5 linked regions of the Oryzias latipes genome follow. The protein of the gene in region 5 binds, or shares a complex with, the protein of the main gene of each other region. Links are inferred from orthologs where the notes say so. Each region holds a gene or a part of one and is shown on either strand. Other genes may lie near its edges. The genes, in order: flcn, lamtor4, lamtor2, fnip1 and lamtor1.

Region 1 (4,463 bases), on a different chromosome or scaffold from region 5:
AACGAACTGATCAGATTTTTCATTTGAAAACTCATATGGTCATTATTGTTGCTCTTGGCATCCACACAAAGATCAGTCTGTGCGTCACAAATGATTAAATCTGCTCCTCTGCATTCCTCGCCCTGACATAAATGATATTATATTTGATTGTTCTAACCCTTCCATAGACATGGACCTCATAATTCATCTCCAGTGCACTAATCAGAGAGTAAACAACAGGTGGTAATAACCTAATCCCCCGTACAATAATGGGAAAGCTGACTCTCCCCGACGCTGAAGTTATTAAACTCCCTTCTGATATTACAGTTTACTGAAAGCAGCAGGGAGGTTTGTCTGTTCTGAGGAAATTTCCTTGTGACTTAAGGTTGGGGAGTAGGGGTGGGAGTGGGAGCAGACACCGATTCCTTTCCGTCTCTGGAGGTGGGAGTCTCTGGAGGTGGGAGTCTTCAGTCCTGACTCACTTGCTAAAAACCCAGACATGTTTCCAGGACATGAACACTGCAGGAAGTGAGGGGCTGGGGGTCCACTGCATTCTGCTCCCTTTTAAAGGGCCAGAGGCTCACACAAACACGCTGTCAGAACAAATTCCTTCCCAGAAACACTGCTATTGATGACTTGAACGCTGATAGCTTCTAAAAAATAATACTAATAATAATCTGGCATGGAGTTTGATTCCCCTAAAATCCTAATTAGATTTGAACAACATACCAATTTAGATTAACCAATTAGATTAACAGCAATAAGTACATACATGTTAAAAACACATAAAAATATGGTGTTACCATCGACATCAGTGGGCTTCTGGGTGTCAGCTGTTCCAACAGTTGGGTTATTGGTTGGTTCTGTGAGGGTCCCGCCACCATCTACCTGGCCCTCAGGTGAAAACGTGGGAGCCCCTGTCCCACGGGACGCCATGGTCACAAATGAAGGGCCCTGTTGCCTCGTTGAGGTAGTTTTACCTTTGACTGGTCAGTAAAAATAAACTGGACACACCCGGTTTTCTTTACTGTGTGTGGGAACACACGGAAGTGTCTAGTTTTTGGCGATTAAAAATAAACAATTTTAGAAATATTATTGTTTTTACAAAAAGCAGATATACTTAAACGCACTCAAAAATCAAAACCACGGTCACATATTTTGACATTTAAGCAGACTAGTAAGAAAATGCAGACTTCCAACTCAAATGTACTTTGACCTCAGTCTCGAGTGGACCTATGGGTAATGTAGTTAGTGTTCAATCGACTAGTCTTATTTTTGACTAAATGATTCTTGATTTCAGGAATGTAATCGTAAATTTTTAAAGAAAAATAATTGGAGAATTTATTTACATTTTCAAACGTCAAGAATTTGAGGTCCAAGAGTGCCAATGAACATAAAACTTGCTTAGACGCATCATTTCTGCTCGAGCGCGTGACTCCGCGTCATGTGACCCTTCTGTTGTTGTTTGCTAGCAGTTCCCGGTGACAAACGAAAAGCGTAACTTGTTGACTTATTGGTGAGTTTTTTAGTTTAAAAAAACGACCCGAAACATGTTTTTTGTATTTTTAAACTAAAAAGCCATGGCTGTTCCATAAAAGTCGTTTTGAGCAGCATTTAGCTCGACTCCGCTGAAGGTAAGAAGAACTCTCTATGATTGACTTGTAACGTCACAAACTGTTAGGAGACATACAGTCTACCTGTAAATATCTGTTTGTAGTCAAAACGGCAATGAATGTTAAATTATTGATGGATTCGTGTGTTCTCCATTTCAGATGAATGCGCTGGTAGCTCTGTGTCACTTCTGTGAGCTCCATGGCCCCCGGACCCTCTTCTGCACAGAAGCCCTGCATCCCCCATCCCCAGACCCGTCCTCCCAGACTGGTACCCCGGTGCCAGGAGACAGAGATAGAGATGGGGACCGTGAGGGTGAAGGTCTCACCATGAGGGCCAACAGCTCTACTACACCTAGAGGAGAGATGTGTGAGGTCAGTTTATCACGCTCTTGGCACCTGGACCTTAAAGTCCCACTCCGATCATCTATTTTCAAAACGTTCCCAGTGGCCTTTTAATTATGATTGTGCTGTTGGGGGGGGGGGGTTGGTAGTAAGCCTGCATGCAAGCCTGTTTGTTTACTTGTTTACGGCCCCTGTAATTGACCCCCATTCTAACATTCCCTGTGCAACAAAATGCCGACCAATATTGGAGCTAACCAGCCGTACAGTTTGGACGAGGAAAGCAAAGACTGAAGACGAATACAGAAATACGCAGAGAGGCAATTTGAAGCTTAATTTTCTTTATACATTCTATCATCAGAAAAATGGCACAAACACACGTTAAAAACAACAGAAACATAATTTTCATTGGAGTGGGTCTCTAAAGAGAACTTATCGGCTGGTAATCCATTTCCCACATGTCATTTTCTGTTTTTTTCTTTTTCTTTAACACCTTCTTAGGGATGCAGATCTCTGCCTGCATCTCACCCTGGCTTTGTGAGCTTCGATGATGAAACAGGAATTCGATTTCTGAGCCATCAGCATCCCAGGCAGCCGCAGCTTTTTAGCATGGTGCGCCAAGCCTGTGTACGCAGCCTCAGCTGTGAGGTAAACTTTGCTTAAACGATGTCTGCTCTCATTTTTGGCCCTAATTTCCGACCCAGTTTTCTCTGTTTTTGCCTCAGGTGTGTCCTGGACGTGAAGGACCGATATTTTTTGGAGACGAGCAACAGGGGTTTGTGTTTTCGCACACCTTTTTTATTAAAGACAGCCTGGCCAGAGGATTCCAGCGTTGGTACAGCATCGTTATTGTAGCCATGGACAGGATCTACCTCATCAATTCTTGGCCTTTCCTGTTACGTCACCTAAAGCTCACCATACACAGCCTGCAGAGCACAGCTCTAAAAGTAGGCCACAAAAACAAACAACCCCTTTGTTGATTCTGTATTGAGCTTAATTGACCGAACACATTTTTCTTTTATTAGGTATTTGACAGTGAGCAGGGGGTTTGCCCTCATCGAGCCATGCGGATCAACAATGCATTTTCCCCCGCAGTCTTTCCACACCAAAGAAGTGGGAACGCCGCCCGATCACTGACCTCTCTCACACAGCATCCCAATCTCTGGGCCAGCCTGCACTCTTCTTTTAGCTGGTGAGACAGTTGACCCGGCGTCACTCTGTCATTACTCCCCTTTAGGCTGATTTGTAGCTTCTCAGCTGTCAATAATGATTTGGGTCTTCACACCCTTCTTTCTGCAGGTTGCTAAAAGCCTGTGGGAGCCGACTGACGGAGAAGCTTCTTGAAGGTGCCCCCACAGAGGACACACTGGTGCTTATAGAAAGACGAACAGGTAAGCATGACGTCCAGGGCTACAAAACTGTTTGTGTCTGATCACACTAGAAGATTTCCTTCTTAAAACAAATAAGAAATATATAAAATATAGGATGCCTTTCCCTTGTTATAAAAGAAAAAAATCTGCCTATGGAACTAGTAGAATTTGTCTTGGTAAGATTTCTCAAAAAAGTTTTGATCTCCCGCCCTTTTTAAGACTAATTAAATGATGACTTTAGCTATAAATACTCATATTTAGGTTTATTGCTCTTAAAATGGGAAATATTAGGTCTTGAACTAAGCCTGATTTTCTTAAAAAAAAGTTTTATACCTATAAAGTAGGTATATTTGTACACTTTTCTTCCCCCCCAAATATGTCTTATGTCAAGCAACAGTCCAACAAATCATCCTGAAATAAGACTAGAATTACACATTTTAAGATCCATTTGTATTAAGGATTATTTAAAAAACACATATGAAACAAAACCACTCACCAGACAAATAAAACTTCAACTGAAAAATATTATATAAAGAGGAAAAAATGTGTTTTATTAATGATATTCATATAAAAACGAGATGTTTTCGAGATCAACTTACTCAACAAGATATTCAAAATGTATTGCCTTAAAACAAATTGGGTCTTTTATTTAGTTCAGGGGTCTGCAACCTTTAAGGGTTAAAGAGACATTTGGTCCAACTTCAAACTGACCAAAACCCACCGAGAAGTCCCACTGTTTTACAAAAATAAACTTTATTTATGTTTTTTGTGCCCATTAAGCCATTTATCTATGAAATTAGATTTAATTATGTACAAGAATAGAATTACATCACTTTACTTTTGACAGCTGCACATTAAAAAGTCCTTTCAAAATAAAATGACAACCCCCCCTGCTGCAGCAGATTTACTTAAATTAAAATGCAAGAAAGTCAAGTCAAACATGGTGCTTTCTGTTATTATGACTGTGGTATACCTTCATCCTGTTTATTTCATTTCACTATTCAATACATGATAATGACGTAGAATCCAATTGTTTTTACAAATCTATATATGTAAATGCAGTTGGACTTTATATAATTTAAGAACATTGTCTCTGAGCAGCACCTGGACATGTATTAAAAATCTAAACCTAAGTGACCAAAATAACCAAAACAAATCAACA
Region 2 (3,075 bases), on a different chromosome or scaffold from region 5:
TAAGCAGACGTGGGTCAGAACAGCTCCACCCCTTTGGCCCCCCTGACTTATGGAGCCAGAACCATGGGGGGGGATCTTAAGCAGACGTGGGTCAGAACCGCTCCTCCTGACATGTGTGTGTTTGTGTGTTGCAGTGGCACGTCCAGGCCACCTGTGCCACTCAGGGGACCGGTCTGTACGAGGGGCTGGACTGGCTGTCCAATGAGTTGTCCAAACGCTAAGCAGCTGACTGATGATGTCACCGTGTACAGAGGAAGAGGAGGAGCCTTCCGCCAGACTGTTCCTGTTTTTTTTTTCTTTTTTTAAATTATAGCTGTAGAAGGAAGTGATGTCACAGACTCTGAGGTTTCCCATCATCCTCTTCTTCTTCTGCCGGTGTTTGTTCTTTTATGCGCATGTTTTAAATCCAGATCATGTGACAGGATGTTTTGGGAGAGGGGTGGGGCTTGGGGCAGGTGAGAGCTACCTGGGCAGGTGACGAGTCATTCCACAGCCGGACCGGCGCCCCCGTCATTCCTGCCTAATGTGAAGAAGAGATGAAGAAGATGACGCAATAAAGCTTTTTCTTGTCACGCTGGTGGGCTTTGTTCTGAACCAGAACCTGCAGACTCTAGACCAGACCGGTCTCAGAACTGAATCTGGTTAAGGATCAGACAAACTTCAGGTTTTCGTATGTTTATTTGAATCAGTTTTCAAAACATTAAAACTTTATTTAAATGACAAGTTCTGACAGAAAATCTGGTTTCTTTGGGAGATGAAGATTTTATTTCAGAATCCAAAACATGCAGCAGAACCTTTGCAGGATCGGTCTTCCGCTCTGCCTTCAGAACCACTGTAGCTGACCTTGTTCTGTAAAGGTCCAGAACCTAAACGTAACTGGGTTCTGTCCAATGATCCAAACAGAACCGAAACTGTTTAGAGAACTTGCTCCAGTTCTGTGCGATTGGTGGGTCACATCAGTTCATTACTGAGCAAGTCGGTTCCGACTCGGTCCAAAGGTGGACTGTCGTCCTCTCCGCCTGGCCCCGCCTTCACGCTGTGACGTGCTCAGGATGCGCGTGCTGACGTTTGACCACAAACACCTTCTGACCGGAAACGGTCACCGCCAAGACGAAGTCCTCCAGAACCACTGCGAACAGAACCGAGTCAGGGCGGGGCATCACCAGCCGAGCTCACCTGTCAGGTGTGACTTACCGGACATGCGCTTAAACGGGACGTCCTCGGATCCGGGTGACCGGAAGTGGTCCGCAGATCCAGATAACCGGAAGCGGTTCGCGGTCCGGACCATCTGCATTATGACGCTCGCCGTGTGCTCGTCGTTCTCCAGCTCACCTGCCGACTGCACAGGTGAGCCTGCTCAGGTTCGGTTCGGTAACAAAGCTGGGCCCGGATACTACTTACCGCCAGAACTCCGTCCTCGCTGATCACCAAGTACCCGAGCTGGTCCGGGATCCGGTCCAGACCCGCCGTCAGCGCCGCCGTGCTCTGCACACAACACACGTGAGGTTCGGTGAGGTTCGGTTCGGAAAAGCGGCACGGAGACAGAGAGCGAACTCACCATTCTTCCGGAAGATGATCCTTCACGTGACTGCTGACGTAGGCTGGTGGGCGGTGCCTTTCAGGCCTTCCAAGCGACTTCCGGTCTGTTTCGCTACACTTCCTGTTTACTTAGTCAATAGTTTTCTTCTATCTGAGCATGTATTGATTATGGGGTAGATTCTATGTAGACGTTTGTAGCAGACGTCTCTCATCTTGTTATTAATTAATCATTTCTGATTCAGGGTCCAAACATTTTTCCAGGACGAGTCAGGAATAAATGTTCTCCAATAGAAAACAGCAGAGGAACAGAAATGACGTTTAGCTGAAACACGGATGATCTTGTTATTCTTTAGTTGAAACAAGATTTTCCAACATTAGTGTCACTTAGAGACATGAAGGGAATATTTGCATCAAGTACAGTATTTTTAAAGAGTTCACAGATTCAGTAGGAACGGCGTCCCCAGTAGGATATTATTGTCAAACCAATGATTGTAAAATAAAGATTTGTTCTTGTAAAGGATATCTCTGTTATTCCAAATAAAAAACTTATGAGGAGAAAAGTTGTGTTTATAGATAAGAAAGAAGAATCTGTGAAAAGCAGAGATTTTCACTGGGATTCTGTCGATATTATAATCACAAAGCAGAAGAAAATGGAGAAAAGCTACTTTAGCAAACATGTGACGAGGGAAAATATTCCAAATGGAGAGTGGATTTTTGAAATATCATCCAGTTTATTTTAAAAGTATTATTTAAAGTAGTAAGATCAAGAAAATTTAGGCCTCCTTTTTCATAGGAGTTCATTAATACAGATTTTTTAAATAATGAATCCGGTTTTTCCAGATGAAGTTTAGCAGCATTTGATCAATAGATTTCAGAGTCTGATTGTCCAGAATTAGTCAGTCTAGAAATCCCCTCTGCTGTGGAGAGTGAATCCTTCCTCAGACTCTGGTCTCTCTGAAGCCTTTGGTTCAAACGTTTTTTGGCTTCATCAATGAGGGGGAGGGAAATTTAATGAGCATCTTTCTAAACTACTTTTGGAAATATTAACGCCTAAATATGTTACAGTTTCTATTACAGGACTGTTGCAGATTCTAAAGCACAATCTTCAACAGAAAGAAGTTCTTATTTGTTCAGACTGAGACGTAGACCTGAGACATCAGAGACAGACTGGATACGGTTCAGAGATCAGGAAACCTGACTGCTGTCTCTGAAGAAGAGAGTCGTGTCATCAGCAAACTGACTCATTAACATTTCTTTATTAAGAACTGAGACGCCTTTTAATTTATGAATATTGATACAATCAGCAAGAGTTTGGGTAACTAGAAGAAAAAGATACGGTGAAATAGGACCCCCCCCCCCATCTGATTCCTCTATTGGGATTGAATCTGGGGGGGGGCATTTTTTAGTTTGACAGAACAGTTAGCATTAGCATACAGAGTTTTAACTGTATTACAGAAGAAATGTATGAAGACAGCTGAAGATAAAATGATGATTAACAGAGTCAAACGCTTTATAAAAGTCTAAAAAGAGAATCAA
Region 3 (4,478 bases), on a different chromosome or scaffold from region 5:
GTCGTTGGCCGAAATCCTCTACAGATCTGTGCCCATTGACAAATGAATGAATTACGTTTATCACATATGTTTCACAAAAGACAGAACTTAAGCAAAATGTGTGACATGGCCTTAACCCTTGTGTTATCTTAGATGACCCCACCCTTACATTGACGTGTTCTCCCTGCCATGACAAAGGTGGATAAAGGTGGAAAGATTTCATGTAATCCATGGACACCAGTGAAGATCACAAATCATTGAAGAAAAAAGGTTCAGAGCACTTCTAGTGGGTCTACATGACCTAACTCTCTGTGTTAAAGTGCCTATGATAGCACAAGGGTTAATGTTCTGATAATGAAATAAAATGTATTTTCTGCCATTTTATAAAGGTGTATTAGTATTCACTCAAAGTTTTGCAAATTCATACTCTTTTTAAAATTGGTGATATTTAGCCTTTCTTGCAGCCACACTGTACATACTGATTAGATTTTTTTTGTAATTTCTTTTCTCCAAAAGACACTTTTATTCGTCATCATCATTTGTCCTTTCAGTTGCAGAGACTAGAATAGAAAAAACTGATTTTTTGACCTTTCATCTAAACTTCAGAGGTGTCAGAATGACCTCAAAGAGTTTTACTATAAATTTAAAGAGTTAACTTTTTTGTCACATATCTAGAAGGAAATGTGTTTATTTCCTTCTGCCAAAATGAGACTACATCCTCTCTGATTTTACACCACGTCTGTAGCTTTCAATGGTTGACGGTATAAACAAAACTGTAAACGGATGCACTTGTGTGACTATAATTTTACCAAAACACATATCAGAGAATACATATTAACCATGCACTCATGTACCATAGCAGTTACAGCATGGAATCAAATCAACTTTTGTTTATACAAATGATTGGTTTGTGTCTTTTTTATAAGTGTGTCCACTCAAACACAACAGATTTACCTCTTAGAACAAAATCCTCTTCTTACAGACAAAAAAAAAACAATAATATCCTCGGCCCGATCACTTTTTCTGATGTCCAAAGGGCAGGAGGGAAACGATTCTGCCAAACACTTTGCGCAAACATGTCCTCCCACCAGGAAGCCAGCAGACAATAAAAACCTCAAAGCAGACTAACCTTTACTGTAAGGAGGAGTGTCAAAAGATTTAAATAACACTTCTTTGGTTGAAGTAGAATAAAAAGTACACTTCTTTGAAGCATAAAATCTTTGAGATAAAAACTCTAAATATGACAAAGGAGATGAATCAAGGAGGTGAAGTTTTCGTCGTTCACTGAAGCAAACTATATTTCCCATGATACATTTCCAAAGAACTGGTCATATTCTAGCAGCTCTAATAGGTGTGAGTGTGAATGGGAGTGTGATTGTGGCCCTGCGACAGACTGGCAATCTGTCCAGGGTGTCCCCTGCCTTCACCCACAAGTGGCCGGGATAGGCTCCAGCAGCCCCGTGACCCAGAAATGGACAAAACGGAGGAAGATGAATGAATGGCCATATTCCAGTTCTCAAAAATGTTTACAGACTACATGGGAAAGTAATTTAAAACAAAAAGATTTGTGAAAAAATCAGGAATAATTAAAAATTTAAAAATAAAGTTTAAAGAAAAACATAATAAATATAAATAGGAAACATGTATTTGGATATAACTGCAATTCCCATGATGCATCTCTAAATGTACCGGAAAAGGAAACAGAAGAAGAATCGAGTCAGCTGACTTTGCTCTGTTATTGAGCAGTTCTCTCTTCTTTTTTAAGCCCCGTGTTTATTCAGTCAGATCATTTTTCTGGGTTTTTTCTCCTGAGAGAGGTCGGCCATGTTGCGACCCAAAGCGCTGACGCAAGTTCTCAGCCAGGCGAACACGAACGGCGTCCAGAGCACCCTGTGAGTACCGCGAGCTAGCAGGCTAACATCCAGCTAGCTAGCAGCGGTTTGTTTGCGTCTAGCTCCTTAGAACTCTTAAAGCTCCCCTGAAACGACACGTTTATATAATTATTACTTCACCAACTTAATACTACTTTTACATTTTCATTATTTATTGCAATAAATACAAATATATTTTTTCAAGATTTGTTTTCCGCTGTTAAATCAAATACAGTTTTACACGAATTTCAAGCAGTTGAATTTTGATTTCAAAATAAGAGTCTTTTTAAAATATATTTGGTTCGTTTTTATTTTTGCTTAGAAAGTCTGTTCAGGGTACAAAATATCATTATCAGGTAGAAAAAAAGCAAAAAAAATCGATTTACATTTAAAAAGTGGTGTGGGAAAATAAGTAATCTGTAATGTTTGATGTAGATCTGTTTGATATAGATCTGTTCATCGTTTTAGCCATTTTGCATCAATCGATCAATTTCTGTCCTGGAGACCTCCTGACAAAATTACTTGGTTTTCATGGTTTGAAAACGGAATGGCGTTTGTCTTAAAACTTTGTCACTGTAACTTTTCATCATTGTGTTGTTTTTGTGTGTAATGAACAACCGTCTCTCTGTGCGAGCAGCCTACTGAACAACGAAGGCTCCCTCCTGGCGTACTCCGGTTACGGCGACACAGACGCTCGAGTGACCGCTGCCATCGCCAGCAACATCTGGGCCGCCTACGACAAGAACGGCCACCAGGCCTTCAACGAGGACAAACTCAAGTTCATCCTCATGGACTGCATGGTGGGAACTTTCTCCTTGTTTTCCTTCAGCCCTTTTGTTGAAGTTAGATTCTATGAATGCCCCAACATCTCTGAAGGGGTCTGCAATTTGAGGCATCACAGCTGTTTTTTTTCCCCCTCCATTGTGACTTTAAAGAAAAAATGTGTATTATTTAAATAAAATAATGTGTTTGTAGTTTTGCTTTAGCATGCATACATGGTGGCACCTGTTCAGTCTGGTCTGTTTCAAACGGGACCAAATGGCTCTTTTAATGTTGTACAAAATATGAATAATGGGACTTGAGCAAACCTTCAGATATGGAAGGAGCTGGCTCTTGATACCAATAGCACCACAGGAAGACACCAAACACACACTCCTTGTACTCCTTGCCCATTTTTTTTTGCCCCGCTCTACAGTTTTGTAAACATTGCTCAAGTCAAACGTGTCAACGTCCTGCATCATTTTTCTCATGATACATAAATAATCTTCGCTCATGCAAACAACCAGATGATTTTCTTATTTCTAACTTCCAGCTCTGAGGCAAAATGTTTAACTTAATTCCCGAAAATCAGCGAATCCACACAGTAAAACCCCCACTCTGCCTTAGGAGGAGGGGCTTTGTGGAGAGTCTTGCTCTGTAGATGGAGGGGAAACCTGCTGCATTTGGTCGCATAAAAAAAGCTGAGATCCATTCTTTCAAACCTGTGATTCAGTTCGATTTGCGCCTCATCGCCCCTTATTCAGTAATAATTCATGTCTGCACATTAGCTGAGAGCTGCTGAACTGAGTGAAGGTCAGGCTTACATAAATACTGTCGTAAATCTGAGCATCGCAAACTAACAGCAAAGCAGTGTTCTGTGAGAAATCCATCTGACTTAGTGGATTTATGATTGGAAGTTACAACCTGTAAAGAAAAGTGACTTTTAGTCTTTGGACTCGACCAATAAAAAGGCTTTTTTTTTTTTTCTCAGGAAGGGAGAGTGGCCATAACGCATGTGGCTAACCTGCTGCTTTGCATGTACGCCAAAGAGACGGTGGGCTTCGGGATGCTGAAAGCAAAGGTGAGGGCGCTGCTTCCTCACATGGGTCTTCATCAGCTGTGGTTCCTCAACGAGTCCCGATTCCTGACCCCACAAGTTCAGTTCAACCAAGGACATTTATTCACTCGTTTATTCATTCACTCTCCTCTATGTAGTTTAGTGGAAGTGAAGCATATTTCAGATCAAATTCCGATTCCAAGTTATTGGATTTGGAGTTGCTGCCGATACCGAGTTCCGATCTGTTACTGTCGTAGCACATCCAAAAAAAAATGACAAACTTAATAAACAGATCAACATTTTCCAAATTTTTAAAATTTTATTAAGCTTCTTTTAGCATTTTACACGTAAACAGAGCACTTCTGGGAAGTATCTTCAACAATCAAGGAAAAGTAATGCAATTATCAAATAGAAAAAATAGTTAACTATAAACTAGTACAAACTTGTTAATAGTTAACTAGTCAAAATAGGTTAATTAGCCCTATGAGAAAGTTTGGTGACTGTAGCCTTAACATCTTCAGAACTGTTGAACATTTTTGATCAGATGTGATTCATTTCCCTGTTATAATATCAAATAATCAATTTCCAAATTCATCGTTGTAGCATAATTATGATGAGTATTTGTGACTTTCAACAGAACCATTGACTAATCGTTAGTATTTTTATTATTATTATTATTATTATTATTATTATTATGTATTTATTTATCTTGGTCTATTTTTCCCAGAACTTGCACTTTGTAGGCGGTCCCTTATCAGCCCACCATCAGTTTCATTCTCTTGAAAAGAATGAAAAAAAGAGCAATTTTTATT
Region 4 (3,769 bases), on a different chromosome or scaffold from region 5:
GTGCTTGTATAAACCTCAATGAACTTGGAAACTTTGTCCCATGGAAACTGACCTTTATGCCCCCAGCTCTGCTCCCCCTCCCCAAACGTCACCATGTGTCATTGGCACGACTGGCATTGTGCTTTCTGTTTGAACACAGGTCACATGCGGAGGATTAAATATAGCAGCTCTCAAGCCTCCTACTACTAAATGAACTTTTCATTTAAGCCTCGTCCTTTGATCTCACCGCCTGCCACCCACTGCTCGCATGTTCCTTTTTTTAACCTAGTTTCCTCTTGCCTAGTAAAGTTTCCTGTAATAGATCTTACACTTATATTTATCACCATGTGATGTCATTAAGCTCCACAGACAAAAGATAACACACCTTTTTCACAGTTCATGTGACTGTTGCTCCGTGCCTTCTGGCTGGGTTGTAAATAACCTCGTGATCAGGGGCAATGTACTGCGTGTTGTCTTTATCATGCCAGGCCCTGGTGTAGAGCCAGATTTCCCAACACTTCCAGCATGTGACTGTTAATAGGGTAGATTATACCGGATTTCACATAAAAGCTGTTCAATAGTGAAAGGCTGGATTTGGAGGGGGAGTGTTTGGGTTTGTTTTATCGAGCTGCATTTCTTGTGAAGTGTCGTGTTTCATGAAGTGTGTCTGTCGTATTCTGCTCTGTCTGTGTGTGCATGAAGGATGTGTCATTGAGAGTGCGTAACCCCACGTACTCCCACGCACTCTTTTTTTTTTTTTACCGTTACCCACAACCCCCTAAATCATTTCTTCTGCTTCTCACCTCTGCCGTGTCTCTTGTATCCTTTCAGCCTCACTGAGCAGCCTCTTGATCACTCCTTTCCCGTCCCCCGGCTCCTCCTTAACCAGCAGCTGCGCCTCCAGCTATCAGCGCCGCTGGCTCCGCAGTCAAACTACAAGCCTGGAGAACGGCGTCTTTCCCCGGTGGTGAGGAATTATGGGAACAAACACGTTTTTAAGTCCTTTCACTAAAATAAACAGGATGAAAGTATCAAAAACTTCAAATGCACTGTAAAAATATTCTTAATTGTTTCTAATATGCAACCAATTGTTTAATTATTAAACTCATAAACTTGTTTATAGTTTTAATCATTACTAATATTATTTTGCATTAAGATTTTGGCATAAATGTTTAAGATGGAACATAAATAAATGAAGTTCTTGGATCACACCAGTCACATATTCTCCTTTTATGATGAAATAAAACCCATAGAGATTCATATTACTAACAGCATTTGATCTTTTTTTTTTTCCAACACCTTTCAAGATCCTAAAACTCTGCAAACTGCAAAGAGCTTCTGTTGAAGTCACACTGAGTATTTAAGGCCTTTTTGTGGCTTTTGTAAAGTCGACTGTGCTAAGACCTCCTCACAGTCGGCCAGGCGTTTGGGAACCAGACCAACGCTGATGTTGTATGCAGAGACTTTGTAGAAACACAGTGCTGCAGCAGAAAGGAAGTTCTTGGCCAGTAACTATAAACTCAGCTGTCAACATCTGCATGTGTTAACTGTTAAACCCTGGACAACCCAAGAACAATTTCTTTATAGGCCTTTAAAGTTAATTTCACAATTAGTTTTGTTTGTTATTTCAGTTTGTGCAGCAGTTGACATTGGCCAAAAAGAGGAAAAAAACCCATTTGAATAAAAAAAAGTGGGGGGGAAATAGAAATAAAAGGAAATATAAATACTAGTGAAAAATAAAAAAGCAAGAAAAAAATGAAATACATTTTTTTATTTTATTTACAGAAGCAGCCAAATTTGACCCCGTGGGTTCTCCGGGGTTAAATAAATCTTACTAAAAAAATCAAATTGGCTGTTGGGATTTTTAGCAAACACACGTCATGCTAGGATTTGTTTCTGCCTTAGCCCTTCTTTGGAAACTGAATCCCCGTCCACTGTCATGTGATCAGGTCAGTGGAGGAAAGCTTCAACATGTCTGACGAAAGTGGCGGTCCAAATCTCGGCGTTGCCCGGAAGAAGAAGATCGCCATTGGCGTTATTTTCACGCTGTCTCCCAACTCTGAGGAAAACAGCTACTTTCAGGAGTTCTTCTTCTCCCACTTCCCTCTCTTTGAGAGTCACATGAACAAACTCAAGAGCGCTATTGAGCAGGTCAGTGAATGTAAATGTTCTTCATCTAAACTCTAAAGCGTCACACTGATGGTTTAGTACCCTTGCCTTCCCTTTTACCCAGTACTATTGACTGTTGCTGTACTGTGTGCGGCTCTGGAAGAGTTCCCGTTTAGTGTTATCTTGCTTTCCTGCCCCTCTTCCTCTTCTCCCTCACAAGTGTCTCAGATTGACAGCTTTGGGGTTGTATATCTAGAGTTTCATCTGTGCATTTCCACTTTCAAGGCCATGAAGATGAGTCGGCGGTCAGCTGATGCCAGTCAGAGAGCTCTGGCCCACAGCCGAATGGTGGATGGACTGAACGAGTTCAGGTTAGCAGCTCCCTCAATTCATCATGAATATTCATTTAATTCATGTTGTGATACGTAGGAAAGATTTTCCAAATGCAACCACCCAAAAAACAAGATTCTTTGTCCTTTTCCTTTATATTGTCCATCCTCATATTTACCGAAGCTGGCAAAGAACAGGGGAATAATTAGCAATAAAAAGTGGTTTTCATTTCACATCAGAGGCTAACAAAATGTGCTGGATTTTGCTCGGCTCTCCTTAGTTAAAAAGAAATGTGCTGACAGTGAGAAGAGGTTAGTTCTGTTACTGTCAATCTGTTTCTGGGTAAGAAATCTTTAAAAATAGTTCAGAACGTTTCCACTTGACTTTGACACGACTGTTCTGCTAATGTGATGGAAATGTCTCTTTGGAGACGATGCAGATTTCAAGATTGAGGGGAGCTGAAGAGGAGATTCTGTTTTGGGTTCAAAAACTGTGAGGAATGTAGACTTGATAAATATTTGCATACGTGTCAGAAGTTCTGCCCTAAATCATATGATTACGGCTCTCAGCAAGCCCTCCCATATAAGTGCTGCACATGCCAGCCTCCAACTACTTTCACTTGCTCCTTTCCCACTGGCTGTCAGTTCCCTGTTTGAGGTCTGCGTTGCAGCAGTCATATGCCTGTTGACACCTGGCCTCAATAACCCAAGCTTCCCAAGTAGGAACCCTATCTACTGCAGAGTCTGGTCACAAGAAAGCACCAGAATAGTAAACAGTATGTGGGTGCCAGCAAGACTAACGCTGGTGCCCTGGGCTAAAAACGCTTGAAGAATCTCACCTCTAGACACCTAAATAGAAAGGTAGCCTCCTTTGCCATTAGGGGCTTTGACTTCACGGAACATTAGACGGGGAAACTGGAAGAAATTCTCTTGACTATTTATGATGATGTGGCATTGACGTTGGTAGAGGGTGGGCAGACGCACATGTCTGCAAAGATAAGCTGCACACATTGCAGAAGGACGGGGAACATAAAAGCCACTGCAGCCTGGGCTTGGGTTATGATGGGGTGTTGCAGCACAACTGAGAGTCCTGAGTCGTGGATTGATGCCCCAGGGTTAAAGCCCTGTCCCTTCTGACTACATGTATTTCAAAACCAGACACGCAGTGAACACCTATGAGCGAAGTAACCAGAAACCGTGCAGCTCTGCAGCCATACTTGTTCTTCAGCTGATCTAAAAGCAGAAAACAAGAAATTCTTTGCTGATGGTAACCTGTAGTTGGATTGTAAATCTCAAAACAAAAGCTACACTTCTTAAATATGTGAACGATTTTATATAATGACTTGCAGAAC
Region 5 (4,225 bases):
ATTTCCTGTCCGCACTTATGTTTGGCTAACTATTTGTTTGTCTAACTATCTTCATTAATTATGACTGGTACATTTTTTCTTTTCTTTAATTTCTGTGAGGATTTTTATGAGTAAATGTGGATTTCCAAACATTCACTGTGAATATCTGAAATGGAGAACCTTAAATTTAACGCCCATTCATTGTCACACACCTAAATGACCACTAGAGGCTGGTTTCAGAATGAGGCAATTTCCCACTGACTCTCACATCTAAAAGTCGGACTTTAAAGCAAAATTTTATATTTCTATTGATTTATTTTTGTTCACCACAGGTGTGGAATATGTGGAGGTGTGTGTTTTTTTTTTGATTGGCAGGTAGTTGGACTTAGCAAAACTCCAACATTCTGAGCAAACTGTGGGTCTTTTTTAGTTGCAATTCGGATTCAGATTATCCCAAGCGGAGTTTTGTTATCCATTACTGTTCACTCAAAAATCCAACACTTCAGATTTCAAAAGTCAGTTATTAGATGAAACAAGAAAAAGAATACCTTTTTTCATCACTTCAGCAACAAAATAAATAATCCATCTGTCCGTCTGTCCATCCATTTTCTTTATCAGCGATATAAACGGGGCCTGTTCACCTGCTGTTGGTTCTGATAAATTATTTAACACTTAAAGGTCTTTTTTTTCAGCTCTGCTCAATTTTTTCCTTTGGCTTTTAAACAGATGACTGATTATTTTCAGCTAAAGCTCCTGAAGGTGGAATTCACCACAGATATTTATTTTTTCTTATCTTAAATAAATTTTGGAGGAAAACGAAGGTGTTAATATTTTTTATTTATTTAATAATTTTTATATATTGTAAAAATGATAGATTCAAGATTTATATGTATATTATAATACATAATTTAAAAACATTATACTATTTTTTATTACAAATATTGATGACATAATTGTTTATCAGATTTCATTAATTGCCTGGAACAAAAATAATATTATTTGTTTTAACCCTTGTGCTATCTTAGATGACCCCACCCTTACTTTGACGTGTTCTCCCTACCATGACAAAGGTGGATAAAGGTGGAAAGATTTCATGTAATTTATGGACACCAGTGAAGATCACAAATCATTGAAGAAAAAAGATTCAGCGCACTGTTTAGTCGGTCTAGATGACCCAGCTCCCAATGTTAAAATGCCTAGGATAGCACAAGGGTTAACGAAGCAAGGGGTGAGGGTTCTAATGGCACACGGCCCCGCCGAAGGGCGCCACTGTGCTTCTGCATGAAACAACCTGCATCACGTGACGAAGGCCGCAGCGGCTTCACGAGAACCGGAAGTAGAAGTTGAGTTGTTGTTGCAACACAGCTGCTGTCATGTGATAGCCTGTCTGAAAAGCTGCTGTGCTGCAGTAGCTTCCTGCTTCTTGATGTTGTTAAAGTAAAAGTCCACAGGAGAGGAATTTTATGTTTGTTGGAGACGGAGCGCGCGGCTCGTATCTGAAGGAGAACAGGGAAGCCGCGCATTGCTAGTTTGGCTCCTCAGACGCCGCCGCCATGGGTTGCTGTTACAGCAACGAGGACGAGAACACAAGTCAGGTAGTTAGCCGCTAGCTAACCACAACCCGATAACTGTACGGTGCTCGGTTCTGCCTTGTTTACCGTGGTATTTACTTTTTTTTAAAATTGATATTTAAATATAAAGAGGAAAACCTGCCCATGTAACTTCTAGTTTTGTGTCAGATATTTCTGTAACATCTAAAGCAATGTAGCTAACTCTAATGCAGGCCTAGCCCGGAGCTGATTTAGTAGCTTAAGTAAAGTAAACAAGTTGTATATCTGTTAATGTAAACATCTGGATTTCTTGTTAAAGTTTAGTGGTTTATATATACGAAATATTTACTTATCAAACAAATTCACGTCCTGCAGTTTGTTACGTAGATTATGTTCGTGCTGTTTAATCATGGGTTAGAAATCAATTGTGAGCTGTAGGCTGTACAGAATACATAACTAGACTTTTCCGTATTGTGTCTTGAAGAGTTCAGTGTCACATGATCATGCAGACTCCAAGCTATTTTAGTATAAGGAAACAAGTGTGACGTTCCTTTGTTACTGTAAATATGCCATCATAGTTGTAGTAAAATAACTGTTTAGCCCTCTATTTTTATTATTTTTGCAAAGCACATTAAACCAAACACGTAAATTGTTCTGTTAAAAGCATAGTGAAATTTAAAGTATAATTGATTTAGTTTAAACATTTCTCTATAATAAAACACACATTAGGTTTAATTAACATTATTTTTATTGATTTGTGTAAGGTCTGGTAGCATAACATGTACAAGTGGATGAAGGGTTTTTGTATTCGTATTTAAAGAATTAAAAGTTGAGATGAACTGTTTTCCGGTTAAGTGAAAAAGTTTCTTAAAATATTTAAAATGAAATGGTACTGGATAACCTAACACATGAAAAATAAATATCATAACAGACTTATTGTTCAGCACTAGCAAAGGTTGCAGAGATTTCTCTTAGTTGAAGAGTTTGTAATATGTTCACTTATTAAAAGTAAAAATGAGTAACTTGCTGCACACATGTCATCTACAGTCTTTTGTCCTGGTAAAATGGCATGCTTTCATTGTTGCAACTACTTCAGAAAACAGTTTTAAGACAGTATTTGTGACATTTTCATTCAGAAGTGTGTATAAATTGTCTGAATAGATGCTCTGCTACTTTTGCAAGGACCCTGATGAGATTAAGCCCCTTATCCCCCACCCAAACCCCATTAGCAAGCCTCCAAATGGGACAGACTGGATCAATCCTAGCGTCCCATCAGCGCGGACGGATGAGCAGGCCATTCTCACATCCATCCTGGTCAAGACAGCACAGTAAGGCACTTTTTATGTTTGGATAGGTCCAGAATGGGACTTTTGACACTATAGTCTCAAACGCAAGTAATGAAAATCTCTTTGTTGTGTTTGAGGAACATCATTGATGTCTCAGCAGCTGACTCTGTTGTTATGGAGCAGCATGAATACATGGACAAAGCCAAGCAATACAGGTATGTCTTTGAAGACTACTTATTCGTTACCAACTGAACTTTTGGCATGTGTAAGCCAATAATTTAAATTTATATTAAATTTGTAAACTGCAAGCCTCTGTATTGTAATTGGTTGAACAACTTTTATTCTGCAATATTTTGTATACATGGTTCGGATTTAGCAAAAAAAACAGTTTTATTCGTGGAATCTAAAGCAATTGAGGATGATGAGGTCTTTGTATCCTGAGGAAGTTGTGAAGGAGGTAATTTAACCACAAAATTGCTGCAGTGCTGGTGCTTCCCTATAAAAGCTGTTTAGACAAAACAGCTGTCAAGCTGTAAAAGGCAACCGCCGGTTATAGTGCAAAACTGTGCAGTCTGGTCGGACACAAGCGAGACCATTTGGGTTAATTTTTTTTGAAGCTGAACTTGTGTTTTTTTTTATGGTTCCAGTACAAAGTTGACTGCAGTGAGCACCAGCCTACCACAGAAGAAAGCACTAGCCCTCCCCTCACTCACTACCCAGCCCCACCAAGTGCTTGCAAGTGATCTGGTGTCATATTCAGATATTCAGCAGGTAACCACACTGACACGCACTTTAATCCATGTCCTTGAATCCATGTCCTGTTTGTCCTGCCTTGTTTTATGCTGTAAAACCAGGTGATTTGTTTAAAAAACAAAACAAAGACCCTATAAAAAAGTTGAGGTTTATCTTGGTTGTGTTTTGAAAATAAAAACAGAGTATTTTGAAATATTGTTGCATCAACCCATTTCTTCATCTAAACATTCAGAATTCTCCCCCTTAAAAATGTACAAATGGACAAAAAAAAGAAAACAAGTGATATTAATTACTAGACTCTCAGTTGAAATCGCATGTTACTTTCTGCTGAAGTATTAATATTAATTTTTTTTTTCATTATTATGATCAGTGCTTTATATTTTAAAATATTCTATTAGAAGTCTGTAATAGCGTTCTGATCATGCAGATTTTCAAAATCAAATGACTCAGAATCGGATTGGGGGCAAAAAAAAACCTCGTTGGGAGACGTCTCCGCTAAGTACTTCATGTGAAGAGTTGCTTTTTCTCTTTTAACTGTAAAGCTGAACGTTTGTAAGACATCTTTTAAAGAGCAAATACACAATTTTTGTTCAATTCTTCAATATTTGACTTGCTGCTTGTTGGGACTGCAAATGGACATTAGCTCTGAGAGCTATG

Evidence for each region.
Region 1: lamtor1 (region 5) and flcn share a complex: the UniProt entries of both Homo sapiens proteins name them as parts of the lysosomal folliculin complex. The link is inferred for Oryzias latipes from reciprocal best matches to the Homo sapiens genes LAMTOR1 and FLCN.
Region 2: lamtor1 (region 5) and lamtor4 share a complex: the UniProt entries of both Homo sapiens proteins name them as parts of the ragulator complex. The link is inferred for Oryzias latipes from reciprocal best matches to the Homo sapiens genes LAMTOR1 and LAMTOR4.
Region 3: lamtor1 (region 5) and lamtor2 share a complex: the UniProt entries of both Homo sapiens proteins name them as parts of the ragulator complex. The link is inferred for Oryzias latipes from reciprocal best matches to the Homo sapiens genes LAMTOR1 and LAMTOR2.
Region 4: lamtor1 (region 5) and fnip1 share a complex: the UniProt entries of both Homo sapiens proteins name them as parts of the lysosomal folliculin complex. The link is inferred for Oryzias latipes from reciprocal best matches to the Homo sapiens genes LAMTOR1 and FNIP1.

What each region holds. Positions count from the first base shown.
Region 1 is NC_019874.2:19,461,906-19,466,368, reverse strand, and holds the start of flcn (folliculin), read left to right. Parts: upstream 1-1,425; 5' UTR 1,426-1,495; exon of another isoform or gene 1,496-1,613; intron 1,614-1,751; coding exon 1,752-1,964; intron 1,965-2,432; coding exon 2,433-2,579; intron 2,580-2,656; coding exon 2,657-2,878; intron 2,879-2,956; coding exon 2,957-3,123; intron 3,124-3,230; coding exon 3,231-3,322; intron 3,323-4,463. Other genes in the region: leng9 (leukocyte receptor cluster member 9), read right to left, coding at 783-915. UniProt on the Homo sapiens protein: Multi-functional protein, involved in both the cellular response to amino acid availability and in the regulation of glycolysis.
Region 2 is NC_019881.2:23,887,877-23,890,951, reverse strand, and holds lamtor4 (ragulator complex protein LAMTOR4), read right to left. Parts: upstream 1,668-3,075; 5' UTR 1,562-1,667; coding exon 1,559-1,561; intron 1,486-1,558; coding exon 1,402-1,485; intron 1,340-1,401; coding exon 1,195-1,339; intron 1,130-1,194; coding exon 1,032-1,129; 3' UTR 671-1,031; downstream 1-670. Other genes in the region: ADP-ribosylation factor 4, read left to right, coding at 135-221. UniProt on the Homo sapiens protein: As part of the Ragulator complex it is involved in amino acid sensing and activation of mTORC1, a signaling complex promoting cell growth in response to growth factors, energy levels, and amino acids.
Region 3 is NC_019874.2:28,620,298-28,624,775, reverse strand, and holds the start of lamtor2 (ragulator complex protein LAMTOR2), read left to right. Parts: upstream 1-1,657; 5' UTR 1,658-1,803; coding exon 1,804-1,871; intron 1,872-2,487; coding exon 2,488-2,650; intron 2,651-3,600; coding exon 3,601-3,690; intron 3,691-4,478. UniProt on the Homo sapiens protein: As part of the Ragulator complex it is involved in amino acid sensing and activation of mTORC1, a signaling complex promoting cell growth in response to growth factors, energy levels, and amino acids.
Region 4 is NC_019872.2:4,896,901-4,900,669, reverse strand, and holds part of fnip1 (folliculin-interacting protein 1), read left to right. Parts: intron 1-810; coding exon 811-946; intron 947-1,928; coding exon 1,929-2,130; intron 2,131-2,373; coding exon 2,374-2,459; intron 2,460-3,769. UniProt on the Homo sapiens protein: Binding partner of the GTPase-activating protein FLCN: involved in the cellular response to amino acid availability by regulating the non-canonical mTORC1 signaling cascade controlling the MiT/TFE factors TFEB and TFE3.
Region 5 is NC_019871.2:21,798,258-21,802,482, reverse strand, and holds the start of lamtor1 (ragulator complex protein LAMTOR1), read left to right. Parts: upstream 1-1,246; 5' UTR 1,247-1,532; coding exon 1,533-1,574; intron 1,575-2,711; coding exon 2,712-2,857; intron 2,858-2,952; coding exon 2,953-3,030; intron 3,031-3,462; coding exon 3,463-3,586; intron 3,587-4,225. UniProt on the Homo sapiens protein: Key component of the Ragulator complex, a multiprotein complex involved in amino acid sensing and activation of mTORC1, a signaling complex promoting cell growth in response to growth factors, energy levels, and amino acids.